2 linked regions of the Oryzias latipes genome follow. The protein of the gene in region 2 binds, or shares a complex with, the protein of the main gene of each other region. Links are inferred from orthologs where the notes say so. Each region holds a gene or a part of one and is shown on either strand. Other genes may lie near its edges.

Region 1 (7,431 bases), on a different chromosome or scaffold from region 2:
GTTGGGTTCTTTTCCTCGGAACCTCTATAATATTCTATATATCCAGATCTTTGTGGTTAACGGAACATGAGAACGTTGTGTTGCTCTGCTTGTTTTGAATGTTGGATTTACACGGGTCCAGTCTTTTAGTGGATTTCATCCATTGTTTTATACATGCAGACGGCAGGAGGGGTAATCACTTATTACTGCCTCCTTCTGATAGGGTTTTCTAGTTACTGCGACGCCCTGAGCTAGTCTTCCCTTTCTTAATCTAAACTGCTCCATGTCGTTTCTTTGTGAGGTTTGTGTTCAAAATTCTGTACAACATCGCCACCTTCCATTCTCCTGTCCTGTCATGGTCGGTCTCCAGGAGCAGATGTAGCAGTCCTGTCTTCCTCCAACTTACGCTGGGATCTCCACCTTCATATCCCAGCTGTGTGTCTTGACTTCATCGTGCAGCATTTGACACCACTTATGCAGCCTCTCTGCGCCAGAAGATGTCACTTGATGAGGTAGCTGAAACACTGGTAATGATGTAGCACTGGTTTGACCAGGCACAATGTGAAATTGGATATAAGGGAGCTTTTTGTCGAGGGAGAAGCTTGTGTCTGGCTAAAATGGTTGTCTCTTCGGATTGTAGCAAAGACGGTCACCGATCACTGTGATGAGAAACTGTATTACTGACCCCTAACTGTGAGCCTGACCTGTCTCTCATGTCCCTTTTTACTTTGCCGTCTTCATCATTGCCTTCTGTCTTGACTGTGTTTCAGAAGTAGCAATAACATCTTACATAAGGAAAGTAATGCTTGTGTCTTGAGTGGGTGTGTATGGCAAACAAGGGCAGATAGGAGTTTACGGTCGTTCAGTGCTGGAGTTTGGAGCTCCTCATTCTATACAGTAATGATGTCAGTGCATTAGCATTAGCATAAAATGTACGCTGGTCAAACATGAGCTCAACCCATCTCATCTGCAGCAATCACACCTTTTTTTTTCAATTTTTGAAAATTAGTTTTAAATGTTCATGCACCTTAAAAGATATTCTGTTGTGGTGAGTCTGAGAGTGACTATAATTTCTAAAACCACATATTTATTTCTTGATGGAGGGGACAATCTCCATGTGATAATGTCAGATATCAACACTTCAAAGGACTATTTGTGGAAATCTAAATCACTTATTTATTATAAGTTTAATTACTATACCATCGTATTGACAATTATCGACACAAATTTATTTAAACATAATATATATTTGAGTCACAGAAATGTTGCAATAAACCTACACTAATGGGTGTTCCGTCTGACTCTAAAGCCAGAGATGATGAATGTAGTCTTGGTGAATTGTTATGAAGTGGTCATCTGTTTTAGCTCTGTATTTTAGTCGAGTATATTAAATTATAATTTTTATCATCATTTTAGGCACAAAGGGGTATGTTTTTAAGAAAAAAATGCTCCAAAATTTTTTTGAATATACATGGACGCTCTACCAGCTTTATTTTAGTCTTTTTTTTTTTTTATAACCACAGAGGTATGATATTTCAAGTTAAATCACATAGGATGATTTTCTCTTTACAGCAGAATTTCCTTTTCAGCTTTATTTTTTTTTCAAATAAGGTATGAAATGAATGCTAATCCAAAATAAATATATAGATATGCCTAAATATTTTAGTAAAGAACTGAGCTATTTATTTGATACAACTTCACAAGAATTCTTTTTTATGGGACTTTTTTCAATCTTTATTTATGTTTGCTTTTTCTTTTTCCATTTCAGCAATGCAGGAAGCTGACAGTAAAGCTGCTTGATCTAGTAAATGGTAATAAACACTACTGTTGTAAAAGGACAGAAAACAATAATATTGGGGGGAAAAAAGAGATGTAATGGAAAAATTAGCGCATCATCTATATCCATTTTGTGAGGTTAATTTTATCGCCACTTTAACTCGCTCTCAATCATTTCTGTTCATAAAGGTTTTTATTTAATATAGACTAAAATGTCATGCTTATGTTCCAGTCTATAAGCTTGTGTTTTGGGTGATTTCTAAAGCAGTGGAACCTATAAACCCACTCTTGATGTCAGGGTTAAAGCTAAAGGTAGGTTTTGTGGCTACACAAAGGCAAGCGCGACAAGCGTCTTCCTCAAAGCAGCCTTCCCGCAATTTTCGTCTGCCCTCATACCAAATGTGAGACTGAGACTTCCAAAATGGCGACTGTTTGAATGTGCAAAGAAAGGAATCCAATGAACGCAAGCAAAGGGAGTCGTGGTCGTGAAAGAGGAAAAACTCGACAGTCCTGCACTTGAGGGCTAAGGCGATACCATGCACCAAATTCATGCAAAAATATAAACTTGCAAAAACTAGAGAATACGTGTATATTCCTTTAGAATGGTTTGGAGACATTATTGCAGTAATATTACTCTATACTAAGGAATGCAACTGCACACATGCACAGAAGATGTTTTTAAAAATGAAAAGAGTATATATATATATATATATATATATATATATATATATATATATATATATATATATATATATATATATATATATATATATATAAAATGAAATATATAAACATATATATTTATTTAGAATGCTATGCACCCTTACTTGTCAAATGGGATTCTAGTTATGTTATGGATGTACTTTTAGCATCATACAGCTGTAGCTACCAAGAGACTGTTGAGTTCTGGGTAATGCCTGCAACACTGGGACAAATAGGGGTATTGTGGGTATTTTAACTAGTTTTGCTTCCTTTTTTTATTTTCATGGAGAGTCAAAGATGGATTTAAAATGTACTTGTAAAATCCTTTTAATCCAATCAAAATACAAGGACATCTATTGACAATTTACTCTGTACACCAGCTCAACATTTACAAAATTAATAAAGAAATGAAATGTCTTTGTGTATGGTGAGTTTGCTTTTGTTTAAGGTACTCCATGACACATCAATTAAGCAATGATCTTAACATGTATGCAATGAGCTTTGTATGTTTCCACAACTGAAAATCACAAACAATTCTATCTTATCAGACTAAATAACTAACCAATTTAAACATTTTTTCCCAAAAATAATCTGCAAAACACATTCAGGTGCATAAGATTTTTAGAGGTGCACAAAACAAAATCTTCTAGGTTTCAAACTATTGGAAATGCCAAGGTATCTCCTTTTTTGTTAAGTGCAAGCACTAAAATATCATGTTTAAACTAAACTACTAACAGATTTTACGCTGCTAATCAGCCTAAATATTTATTCTAGTCTATATTTATTCTGGATTGCTGAACTCTGTATGTTGTAGGGCCATGAGGGAGAAGCACCCAGCTTGATTCACAACTTGTTTATAGAAACCAAGATGAACCTCGTACAAGTTCACAAAAATGACTAGAGTCCTAACTAATCCACACTAAATGTGCGCAATTTGCTGTAAAAGTGAATATGTTTTTTTTGTTTTTATAGATCCCTTTGGATTGAAACTACAAAATCAATTCTACATTTGATTATTTTTTTAACGCTGGTGCAGTAGCGCCAGTCACCAGTAGAGGGCGTAGACGTTTTCTGGATAGCATTTTTCCCTGCAGTCATCTGTCTGTCTACCTTGCCTGTCTGTTGTTTTGTATGCATGTGGAAGTGGAGGAGCGTGTGTCCTGAGGTTCTTTTAACAAAGATTATCGACACCTCCTGTTTGTGAGAGCGCGTGTGGTGATAATTTGCACTTATGAAAAAGAGGTATTTATTTTTATTTATCAAAGGCAGCCGTTCTTTTGAGCCAAATAACTATCTGGCTTTGCCCTGGGACGCCCAGAATTTCTTTTCGTGGCATATTATTTAGTTAGATAGTTTTAGTACAAGAGTCCTAAGAAAAGATGTCCACCGAATGCCAGAAAACAACTGCTAAGGCCATTCCGTCCACAAAGAGAGTAACCATCAACAACGCTGATCACATGCCCCACGACTACTCCACTACCCCCGGAGGGACCCTGTTCAGCACCACACCGGGTGGTATGTATAGAAATTTCAAGTCTTTTTCCAACACAAAACACGCATGTGCGAAGATTTACTCAGATTCACGCCACATGGGACCCACATCCTTTTAGATCATCGCTACTGTACAGCCAGCTGATAGCTTGCAGTTAAGCTAGCTGCTAATGCTAGCTAGCGGGTGTTTATTTTAAGCTAGTTTAAAGTAACTCAGTCGTATGCATTTTAAAAATTTGACATATTGTTACATATCTTTATTCTGCTCAAATTGTCTGCTTGTGTTTGAAGTGTTTATCTTGGGTTTCTTGCTTTCTTTTAGCTCTGGCTGTACTTGTTGCTAAAGCTGGACAGAATAGCATGTGGGCGGAGCTTAAGATGTGAAGGGATTTACGGGTCAGGGGTGGGCCTCGGCCTTAGAGGGGCAGGATTTATAAAAACACGAGCTGGAAGGGGTGGGCTTAAACATCAGACTCCGCCCTTCCAAACCTTGTACTGTTACACGTAAATGTAATAATATTTTCCACAGTTCATTGAAGGTGTAACTTTTATACAAAACCAACATGATATTCCACCAGCAACAAGCCTCTCAAAACTATTTATCTGTCATTCTTTACATATATTTATTTTTTATAATCCCACTGGCTGTTTATTATTGTCTCTGTATTGTACACTGTGTACTACATTGGTACACAGATGACCTGATCCCAATGGCGATATGATGTACACATTACATCTGAACCATTAGAGTCGGATCCTGAAATACTTAAATTAAATGTGTCCAAACCAAGATTCCAGATTTTAATGTTGATCTTAAAAGTCATATTTTAACACTTCAAAGCATTTATGTATGTACTTAAAATAATTGCTTTATTTGTTCAAAACGACGGAAGTAAATGGGTCATGTTGTGTTTTCTTTCTCGTTTGGTAAAACTACAGGGTTCACACTGTGTGGCAGCACATTGCATGCTATTTCTAAAGAACAGGGGAGCATGTGCATCAGGTTAATAATTGCTGGAAATAAGCGGTAGCTCCGTTTTTGTGTTGCTTGAGAAAGGTGTCCACCTGAGTGGGGTGGTTGAAGTAAATGGAAGTAAAATTATTTGAAATGTTATTTTTAATCATTTGCATTGATATACACACTAGTTTAATGATTTTTACTGCCTTTTTATGTGGAATTCCTTAGAGATGTGAGCCAAAAAAAAGCATTTTTCTGATAAATCAGTCTTGATCGTCTAACCTGAATACACCTGAAATTATGTTAGCTTTTTTAAACTGCTGGGTGCACTTTTGATCTAGCTTAATGATTATCAGTTGTCTTTTGTGTTCTATGTTTCACTTAACTTATTCATTCCAAAGCCATTTTTCTGGAAAAGCGGACAATTGAAAAAATGTTCTGACGCACAAAGCGTTTCTGCACAAACAGGTACTCGGATCATCTACGACCGGAAGTTCTTGCTGGAGTGTCGGAGCTCTCCTTTGGCAAAGACTCCTCCACGAGGCCTTCCCAGCATTCCAGGGGTGACCAGTCCTCCAACCAAAGAGTTCAACAAGAAGACCCTTAATGGAGAAGTAGTGAACATAGACACGCCTGCGGCTGACAGTAGCAGTGCAGGTATGTTCACAAATCATAGTCTGACCAAAGTATTTAAAAGAGTCAAATTTGGCATTTTGCTCCAGCATAGTGTTGTGTATAACATTTAATGAATCCATCCACAATAGGTAGAACATGGAGTTATTTTAGGCCAAATGCATGTAGTGGTGCAATTTCCAGTGTAATAAAGTTTCTTGTCTGCTTGTAAAAGAAAAAAAAACTTAGTCTTGCAATATAGCATACATAATTAGATGTATTCTAGTTGGGGTTTTTCTACTAAATGTAGAATTTGGTAGCTAAATGCTTAAAGAAGAATAAGCAAGTTGATGCACCTTAATCTTGAAGCAAGATTGTTTATTTTGACTGAAAACATTGTCTGTCAACGTCCTTGTTGCCTCCTGAATTTTAGAAAGTTAAAGTATAATTTTTGTGTGCTTTTTCTAGGTGACGATGCGCAGTTTGAAATGGATATATAGGTGGATCCAATGCTGTGAATGGAGTATCTGGAACGTCTCCTCTTATCCCATCATCATTTCTTTGGAGGAAAAGTGATCTCTTTTAGAATCTGGGTTAAAAATGTCTGTCTTTGATACTCATATTAATGCCTGAAGATCACAAGCCTTTTTTTTTATTCTATTCAAGGTCTAAAACCTATTTGCTGATGATAAAGTGTGCCTTCATGTAGTGGCATCAAACGGAACACAGACACCAACAATGCCTCATCAGTCAGCAGCAAGAAAGTTTAGACATAAAGAGCTCATTTTCATCAGATCAGGAGTGTTCCAGAAGTTGTTTTTTTCACTTAATGCCACCTGTCTTCAAATACTGCCTTTACATGTTCAAACTGTGGAATTTGTAAGTCATGTTCCAACGTGGAAATCCTCCACCTGAAGTGTTGCACAAGAATTGAAAGTTGAATTTTTGATTACATTTTGAAGTTTCACATGGTTTGTAAGGGGGTTAAAAAAATAAACCAAACACCATGAAATGAAGAGGCTTTTTGTCTTAATGGTTTCAATTTTGATCCTAATTTATTTGAATAATTTCTGCATTTTCTGCAAACTTCTATTGGACAGTTTTGTTAAAGTGATAAAAACACCTGAAACCTGATAAACGAAGAGTTAAGATGTATGTCAGAGAGAGAAATCTTTGGCTGCTGCTGGTTCTGGTTAAGGTAACGCTCGTGTCCGAGTCTTTTCAGAGGAACGCCTGGAGGAGCTCACTGACAGCTGATAACCTCAGGGGACTCCACAAAGAAGGGTCAATATACAACAGTACATTTCTGAGAGAAACTCCCCAACTCCACCCAACATAAAAGCCTGAAGTCTTGATGATGCATCCATAAGCCTTTTTATTAAAAACCATTAAGAGAAGATGAACAAACAGCCTTCATCCGAGCTGAGCGGTGTGTTGAGGTGGTTTCTCTCTAAGCTGCGAACGTTCAGCTGTGATTTTAGTGGAGATAATGAGTAAAAACAAGACTAGAAGCTTGGATTCATAACATAAAATGAGTCACAAGTTTGAATTTGTGAACTGTAGTTTTGCTGAAGAAAGATGTTTAAAAACCTGAGTGAAATAGATTTTTATTTTTCAATGTTACAGTTAAAATGAACTAAGTGCTTCCTCGTCCGTGCAACACTCACACCTTAGGCTTAATCCATAAAAAAACTGCAAATAATATATATAAAAATGCATCATCCAGTAACTAAAATAGACATTTAAAATTCATTTGTTTCTAAATAAAAGTGCATTTGTTGTTTAAAAAAATGCATAGCCGTTCAATGTGTTAACATTTTCAAAACCAGGAAAAATAAATACAAAAAAACACACAGAATTGCACAATTGAAGCCGTCTCATATGAGGTCCAAGTTTGATGTTTTAACCTGAAC
Region 2 (7,327 bases):
ATGTTGTGTGTGGGAAATTACACTTTACATTTACGTATGCATGCATATTACTCTCAATAGGACTGGGATATAAAACAGCTTCCATGCTTTCTCATTGCAGCGGTCCTGGTTGGAGTTCTGTGGACCCTGTTTGTGCTTCAGACCTTCAAGCCAGAGTGTCTGAGGGTGAATTCTGGTTGGACGAGGCAGAGTTTGTGTCCCAGTTTGATGACATCACAGTGGGATATCCCATTAACAAAGAGGGACATTTGAAGAGCATTTATACAGGTTATTAGCTCATTTTCTGCTTATTTTTGTTGCACTTGATGTTTGTTTGTTTTTCTGACCGTTATGTCACTTTTCTGTTTTCTGACAGGAAATATTTTAACATTAAATCACCAGCAGGTCGGCCGCTGGGTTAAAGGCGTTTCTGCTGGCGGCTGTCGCAACAGCAGCAGCTACATCAGCAATCCTAAGTTTTGGCTTAAAGTGTGTACAAGAGGAGAGATACTGGTGTCTTTGCTGCAGCATTCAAACACGAGGAACACTGAGAAATATGCAAGAACACCGCTCAGTGACCGCAAGAGTACAAAATACCAGAACTACCAAGCCATTGCTCTTCACATGTGGAAGGTTTGTTCTGTCGTTCACATGAAGTTCATCTGCATCATTTTGTCCAAGACAGACATGTTGGAATGTTTCCTCAGGTGGAAAAGAAGCATTTGAATCTGAGCCGGTTGTTGAACAAACCTCCCTGTGTTTCTACTCACTGCCATGCCCATGACAGAGAGGTGGTCCTCCGTGACCTGCTAGAGCCTGGTTACTACCTTCTTATTCCCAGCACCTACCAGCCAGGAGCTGAGGCCCACTTTCTTATGCGGGTGTTCTCCTCCTCTTCCACATCCTTCACGTAAGAATCTCTCATCATCAGTGAAAGTTTTTTTTTTATGGATGATACTTTTCTAACACACAGGACCTAACAGATCTCTCCTCCTCTTTAGTGCCCTGAAGACCCCAGCTCGATCACTGCCTTTATTGACAGACAGTGAGTGGGAGACCACTTACTTCCAGGGCTCGTGGGTGACTGGAAGTACGGCCGGAGGAAGCAGAAACTTCCTCTCTCACAGGCAGAACCCGTGCTTCCCTTTTACGGTGCGTGCTGAGCCGACGGTAAAACCAGGGGTCAATGTAAGGATTACACTGCACCAGAGCCGGCCTGACACCGACCTGCTCCCTATCGGCTTCCACGTTTATAAGGTCAGTTTAGCATTAAAAGAGTGCGTCAGGGTGGATCAGAAAGGAAGAATTTGAGTTATGTTTGTCTGTACACAGGTACCAGAAGGGGGATGTGAGCAGATGTTGAAGGAAGAGGATCCTGTGGCCAGTTGCCTCCCTCACTGTTACACACAGGCCATCAGTCTGGACTGTTCCCTCCCTCCTGGTTATTACACCTTAGTGCCATCCACCTATGAACCCGATTGTTCGGCAGACTTCACCCTCAGTTTGGCTCACAGAGTACACAGGTTGGCCTTCAATTTTCAAAGTTCTTCGAATTATATCGTATAGTATAATTGAATAGACTGTATTAGGACTAAAGTGGTCCCTCATCTTTATGTTTTACAACAATTATAAATGTTTTATGGCTTTAAAACTCCTTACTACACACCTTATTAACATTTACACACAGTTGACTTGGGTAAGAATACACTTAAAATTCAAACCTTTGTCGGAAAATAAGTCCAGTATTATAGAATGTAAACAAAGATCTGCTAGAGGTCGAAGATTTATGTGAATCTTGCATCTGAAGGCAGTCTGTACTGGAGACATGGCATGGGGAAGATTGATAGACAAGGTCTACAGCCAATCAGGTCGCAGAACACAATGCAATGTAAAAAGGAAAAAGCGTAAACAACTGCATTAAAAAAATCTGTAAAACAGCGAGACCATGAAGGGTGAGGCTCAATATAGAGGGATCACTCATTTATTTTAGCTGGATTATTGTGTAACTTCCAAAACTGATTTGACTCTTTTTAGGAAGGTGGTGAAAAGTCAAGAAAAACTCCAGAGATCCATTCAGGAGGTTGGTCTTTTGATTTGTTTTTATTTAAAGTTAATTTCTGCATCTTTATTGCTGCTATTAATTATTGGTAGTTTTACACAATTTTTAAAACCGATCTACAACTTAGAAGAAAGCATATATGTATTTATACATCATGTAACGGTTATTTTACACAAGCTGCTTGTGTTTTGGATTTTTATAGCCGTCAGAAGATGGCAGCACTGAATAATCCCTTTCTTTCGTTTCTGTTTGAATGGCAGGTCTCTCGCATCTCTGTGATGCAAAGCTAGCTGTGCCAATGGGATGCAGCTCCAGTGAGATCAGATCGCCTCCCTGTGCCTCTTGGCCAGCGATGAAACAACCCAGTCCCGTCACCCAGCCTCGCCACAAAAGCCATGACGTCAGTGTTGGTGCATATATGTATTATGAGTGACTGAGAAGGGAGTCGGAAACACTGCTGACACTCTGCATTTCTGCGCAACAAGGCACTTGTCAGCGATTCTGAAAAGTTTGTTGGTGGGATGGGCTGCTAATGAAGTATGACGGGACCGGCTGGTGTAAACAAACAGCCACTACTGAAGAAGGCCGCCTCTGCTCTTTCTCATTCACTCAGTGCAGCGCCTGCCGGCACAAAACAAAGAGTCCTCTCATGAAGGTCCTCACAGAAACCCAGAGGGCAAGGGGTGAGGGGATGGTCTGGAACAGGAGAGCCAACCGAGCCACACCACGCCATAGCATGCCATACTATCCATAAGCTTTCTGTGCATCCTTCGCCTCGTGTGCTTTTAAAACTCAGACTTCTGTTATAGTCCCATAGCAGAAACCAACACCAATGTCAAGCTGACCCAAAGACACATAGTCTCCAGCTCCTATCCTGTTTCCCAGACTAGGTCCACAGCTCCGCTTGGAGCTGAACAGAGCCAGCGTTTGAAGATGCCGAGAGAACGAGTGACAAGCGAAGGGATGAAAAGGGGAGTGCGGCACATCAGAGAGAGGCAGATCATCTGATGAAGCCGCCAGTTCTCTCTATTGAGGCTGAGCATGTGCAGTGATGTGTGCCTTATGGTAGCCATGTCTGAGTTTCTGCTCAGTCACTGGGGCTGAAAGTGATCAACTGATCAAAATGGTACTATGTTATGTTTGTTTTTTTGTTGTCCGTTTTGTATTTATGATGCATGTTATTAGGTACGGTGCAATAAATAAATGTTAAAACACAAGTTGGATCATTTTACCCTCATGGGGCTTGGGTTAATTCTATCACATACATTTGAATAGAGACCCTGTGAATGTTTGAAGAGAGGTGCCACTGTCACCCTTGACCCCTTCAGCTCATCACCGCGACCAACATACCGCATGCGCGCCCACGTGCTTCTATTGCGCGTCGCCGTTCCTGCGATTTCCAGGAGGCTGTGATCGGATTCCTGACGAGTCTCAGCCAGGACAGAATGAACAACAAATTCGATGCGTGAGTAGCAGCTCTTTTGCGTTAGAACTTCGATCGAAAACGGTTCACTGTCTGGAAACGGGGAATCAAGAATCATGCGTTACGCATTCAACGAAAGGTGTGTCCATTTTATCAGCACGATGCAGTGATAGATCTGTTATTAACCCGCATATCAGCGAAAGTCATACCGGTGTGTACTTTAACTGCATATGGAACAGCAGCATTACATTTATGGGCGTTTATGTTGAGTAGTGTAGCCAGGCTGCTAGCAATAGCTTAGCAAAACGGAAGACGGGTAGGCCTCGAATCCCCGGTGTAGTGGTAGGGCAGAGGCCCGGAGAGGGTGTGTGCAGTCACGGTGTAAACTGTGAACGGGAAGACGGATCAAACGGTGATTTAAAGCAAATGTAGTGTTAGCATATTTACGCTGGTGTATTTGTGTGCATAAATTGATGCCGTTTTTCTGTTAAAATATCCAACATTAAATACAAAGTGAAGAACATTCCAGTTAATCGGCTAGTTTAGCCAACAGCAACCCGGTAATGACTGCATGCTTAAACGAATGGACTTTTTGTTTTTCCTGTTTTTATCCTTTAAGCAGCTTTTATTTTTCATGATGGACTCGAGTTTGGTTTATATCATCATTGTTAGTCATTTAAACACATTGCACCTTTTTAGATTTTCCAGCGAATTAGGGAAGTGAAGATCATTGGATGGATCGTTTTTGAATTTAACTAACTTTTCGTTTCCAGTCTGAAAGACGATGACAGTGGAGATCACGACCAGGACCAAAGCTCACCGAAAGATAGCGAAACGATAAAGATTGAGGACGACGAAAAGGAGCAGAACACAACTAAGAAAAAAGTGAGTTAGGAGATTTCAGTGTTTGCATGATAGAGCGGCCTGAATTCCTGAAGGCACCTACTAGAGCTTCCTCGTTTCTTTTGCAGATGGTGGTTCCAGGAGCAGGAGAGCATCCTCTTCAGTACAACTACACTTTCTGGTACTCCAGGCGCACGCCAGGGCGACCAGCAAGCACCCAGAGCTACGAACAGAACATTAAACAGATCGGCAGCTTTGCCTCGGTTTGTCATCTCTGTGACGCTCTTCACATCTGAGCCAAATGATGCCATTGCTCACTGGCTGTGCTGCAGCAAACTATCACAACCATGAACGCTCTGATCTTTTTCAGGTGGAACAGTTCTGGCGTTTCTATAGTCACATGATCCGGCCTGGCGACCTAACCGGTCACAGTGACTTCCACCTGTTTAAAGAAGGAATTAAGCCCATGTGGGAGGTGTGTACACTTGCTACACGTTTTAATGACCTTTTTAAGGAATGTGTTTGGATACTTTAGTGATGTTTTTGCTTTGAAACTCTGATTAGGATGATGCCAATAAAATGGGCGGGAAGTGGATTATTCGCTTAAGAAAAGGCCTTGCGTCCCGGTGCTGGGAGAACCTGATCCTGGCCATGCTGGGGGAGCAGTTCATGGTGGGAGAGGAAATATGTGGAGCTGTGGTGTCCGTCCGTTTTCAGGTAAAAACTCACACCAGCGAGGCCTAATGCTCTACAACAGCATTTGTACAACAGTGACAGTAAATAAGTGTTTACAGGGCGTAGTTATCTTCTTTTTGTGTTGTTGTTGTTTTTGTTCCACAAAGACAATAATTACTGTAATTGAGTTTTAAATGCTTTTAGTGAAAATGCCTTACCTGCAGTGTTTACATTCTTTTGACTACTGTAACGCAATTAACGTAAATCAGCTGATTCTGTGACGGAGAAAAGCAGCTTTCCGCCATTTTGGAACCCTTTACGTTAGTAACAGCTCCAGTGCCAAAGGGTTAACTATCCAGGCCTCAGATGTGCCATTTTTATTTCTTTCTTTCAGGAGGACATCATTTCCATTTGGAATAAAACCGCCAGTGACCAGGGTACCACCGCCCGCATTAGAGACACCCTGCGCCGAGTCCTCAACCTGCCCCCCAACACAATCATGGAGTACAAGACACACACAGACAGCATTAAGTATGTATGTCTCCTCAGTTTACTATTTTCTCTCCATCTTTTGCTTTAAAAAAAAAAGTCATATTTTGTGATTTGATAAACCTTTTTCACCAGGAACCTGTTGAGAGTGAAATTGTGCACATCAGTTATAGTTTTAATGCTTAGAATAAATTTCTTTAAATCGTGGTGTGATGTCTTGCTGTCATAGAACCATCCTCCTCCCTTAACCCCTCTACACTGAATGTATTTCCAGCTTTTAAAAAAAATCCTAATTTTTTGCCTTCAAATAGATGCTAAATTTAGGTAATTTTGGAGCCAAAGTGGTTTGATGCATCGTTCTCTCAATAGGCATCAAGGGGAATTAGGGCTGCACTATTTAAGGAAAACTCGCAATATTAGTGATCAATATTCTGATTATAATGTAACTAGCGATACATGAACAAATAGCAAAACAACCAATAACACAATATCCTTTTCATTGCAAAAGTTTAATTTAAATAAGAGTCAACATACCTGAAATTAAACTCCAAATGACCCTCGTCTACTTAGGAGGTGAGCCTCTAACATGAAAGGGGTCCATCCGGTTGGTCAACAACGTGAAGGGTTCAATCCGATTGGTCAAATGCATAAAATGATCTATTTGATTGGTTAAATACTTCAAGCTGCCATAAGATTGTTTTAGCACATTTAAGGTAACCATTTTTCGCTATTTTTGCCGTCTTTTGCGATATGATTATTGCACAGCTTGATACTGCGGTAACGTGGTGCAGGCCTAAGGGCGATTAAAGGAATGAATCTCTCCAGGAAAAAGTCGTTGCAGAACGACAGATGCTTTGTCACATGTCGCAATTCTGAAGGTTTATGTCAAACTTTTGCAGCCTGGTTAATATTGATGGAAACTATTTAATACTGAATGATGATGCTCTGTATGTTCCTGTGTCTGCAGAGCCTGGGAAGACTTCCATGGGCTGGTGAATGCTAGTGGCGGGCGTTAGCCTCTCGCACAGGAACACTCTGCCAAGAGTAAGAGCTGGCGCCGTTTGGTCCTACCTAATGGCTGTTTCTCCTATTTGTTTGTTTTTTCCACCTCTTCCTCATGTTTCTGTTTTTCTCGCAATAGGTTTGTGTGTTTCTGTGACGTGTGGAGGGGCACCTGGATCCGGGGAAGGAAAACCTCTGTGTGGACCGGCACTGTGTAACAGGAAGACGTGTCAGGAGCAGAGGCCCCAAGGATCAATCCCCCTGTTGGGTCAAATTGGAAGAGAGCAGAGCGAACTGTCAGCACCAAGCCAAAGACATACTTGAAATCAACCAGAGAGGGGGGAAGAAACAGCCTCATTTTATAGCAAAGTTGGAACATCTGTTGACTTGTTATCAGAAGGAGGCTGCGTTACAGAATTTGGTCATTTGCTGTTGACAAAACACCACAAAATCAGTCCGATATAAAACTTTACATGATTTTATTGTTCAGCACAGCCTCACATCCACTGTTAAAAGTTGGTCAGTTTTATTGGGGCTCAAACAGGGTTAATGGAAGATGATATTTTATTACAGTGATGTATTTTAATAATTACCTCTTCAGTTTCAAACAGAGCAGATGCTATTATTGTGTAAAATGTATTTGTCGATGAAGTCCACTCCACGATCACTCAGTTGACTCGTCAGCGACTCTCCGTGGTGACATGGAAGTTGAGTCCTACGACAGAAGACCATCCCATTTAGCTGAGAAGGTTGAAAGAGCCCCATCTTCAGAATGAACTGCCAAGCTGCCTTAATCACTGTGCCTGGCCTCAGGGCCAACACGCACCGGATGTCCATTCTGCAGGTTAGGGTGCATC

Evidence for each region. The genes of interacting proteins can lie anywhere in the genome.
Region 1: the proteins of eif4e2 (region 2) and eif4ebp1 are in contact, whole or in part, in a crystal structure (PDB 5NVN), measured with the Homo sapiens proteins. The link is inferred for Oryzias latipes from reciprocal best matches to the Homo sapiens genes EIF4E2 and EIF4EBP1. Residues at the interface, in NP_004837.1 of Homo sapiens: Glu53, His54, Pro55, Leu56, Gln57, Tyr58, Tyr64, Arg66, Lys83, Gln84, Ile85, Gly86, Val91, Glu92, Gln93, Trp95, Arg96, Phe97, Ser99, His100, Met101, Val102, Leu107, Phe113, Glu149, Asn150, Leu153, Gly157, Glu158, Gln159; in NP_004086.1 of Homo sapiens: Arg51, Ile52, Ile53, Tyr54, Asp55, Arg56, Phe58, Leu59, Met60, Cys62, Arg63, Ser65, Val67, Thr68, Lys69, Thr70, Pro71, Pro72, Asp74, Leu75, Pro76, Ile78, Pro79, Gly80, Val81, Thr82, Ser83.

What each region holds. Positions count from the first base shown.
Region 1 is NC_019867.2:12,545,699-12,553,129, forward strand, and holds eif4ebp1 (eukaryotic translation initiation factor 4E-binding protein 1), read left to right. Parts: upstream 1-3,528; 5' UTR 3,529-3,836; coding exon 3,837-3,972; intron 3,973-5,374; coding exon 5,375-5,563; intron 5,564-5,986; coding exon 5,987-6,018; 3' UTR 6,019-6,534; downstream 6,535-7,431. UniProt on the Homo sapiens protein: Repressor of translation initiation that regulates EIF4E activity by preventing its assembly into the eIF4F complex: hypophosphorylated form competes with EIF4G1/EIF4G3 and strongly binds to EIF4E, leading to repress translation.
Region 2 is NC_019875.2:23,170,719-23,178,045, forward strand, and holds the start of eif4e2 (eukaryotic translation initiation factor 4E type 2), read left to right. Parts: upstream 1-3,454; 5' UTR 3,455-3,483; coding exon of another isoform or gene 3,484-3,503; 5' UTR 3,504-3,577; coding exon 3,578-3,600; intron 3,601-3,757; exon of another isoform or gene 3,758-3,873; intron 3,874-4,234; coding exon 4,235-4,346; intron 4,347-4,432; coding exon 4,433-4,567; intron 4,568-4,674; coding exon 4,675-4,779; intron 4,780-4,868; coding exon 4,869-5,021; intron 5,022-5,373; coding exon 5,374-5,510; coding exon of another isoform or gene 5,511-5,514; intron 5,515-6,435; coding exon 6,436-6,484; 3' UTR 6,485-6,512; intron 6,513-6,609; 3' UTR 6,610-7,327. Other genes in the region: capn10 (calpain-10), read left to right, coding at 101-267, 356-612, 687-889, 981-1,236, 1,312-1,502, 2,014-2,059, 2,299-2,328. UniProt on the Homo sapiens protein: Recognizes and binds the 7-methylguanosine-containing mRNA cap during an early step in the initiation. Acts as a repressor of translation initiation.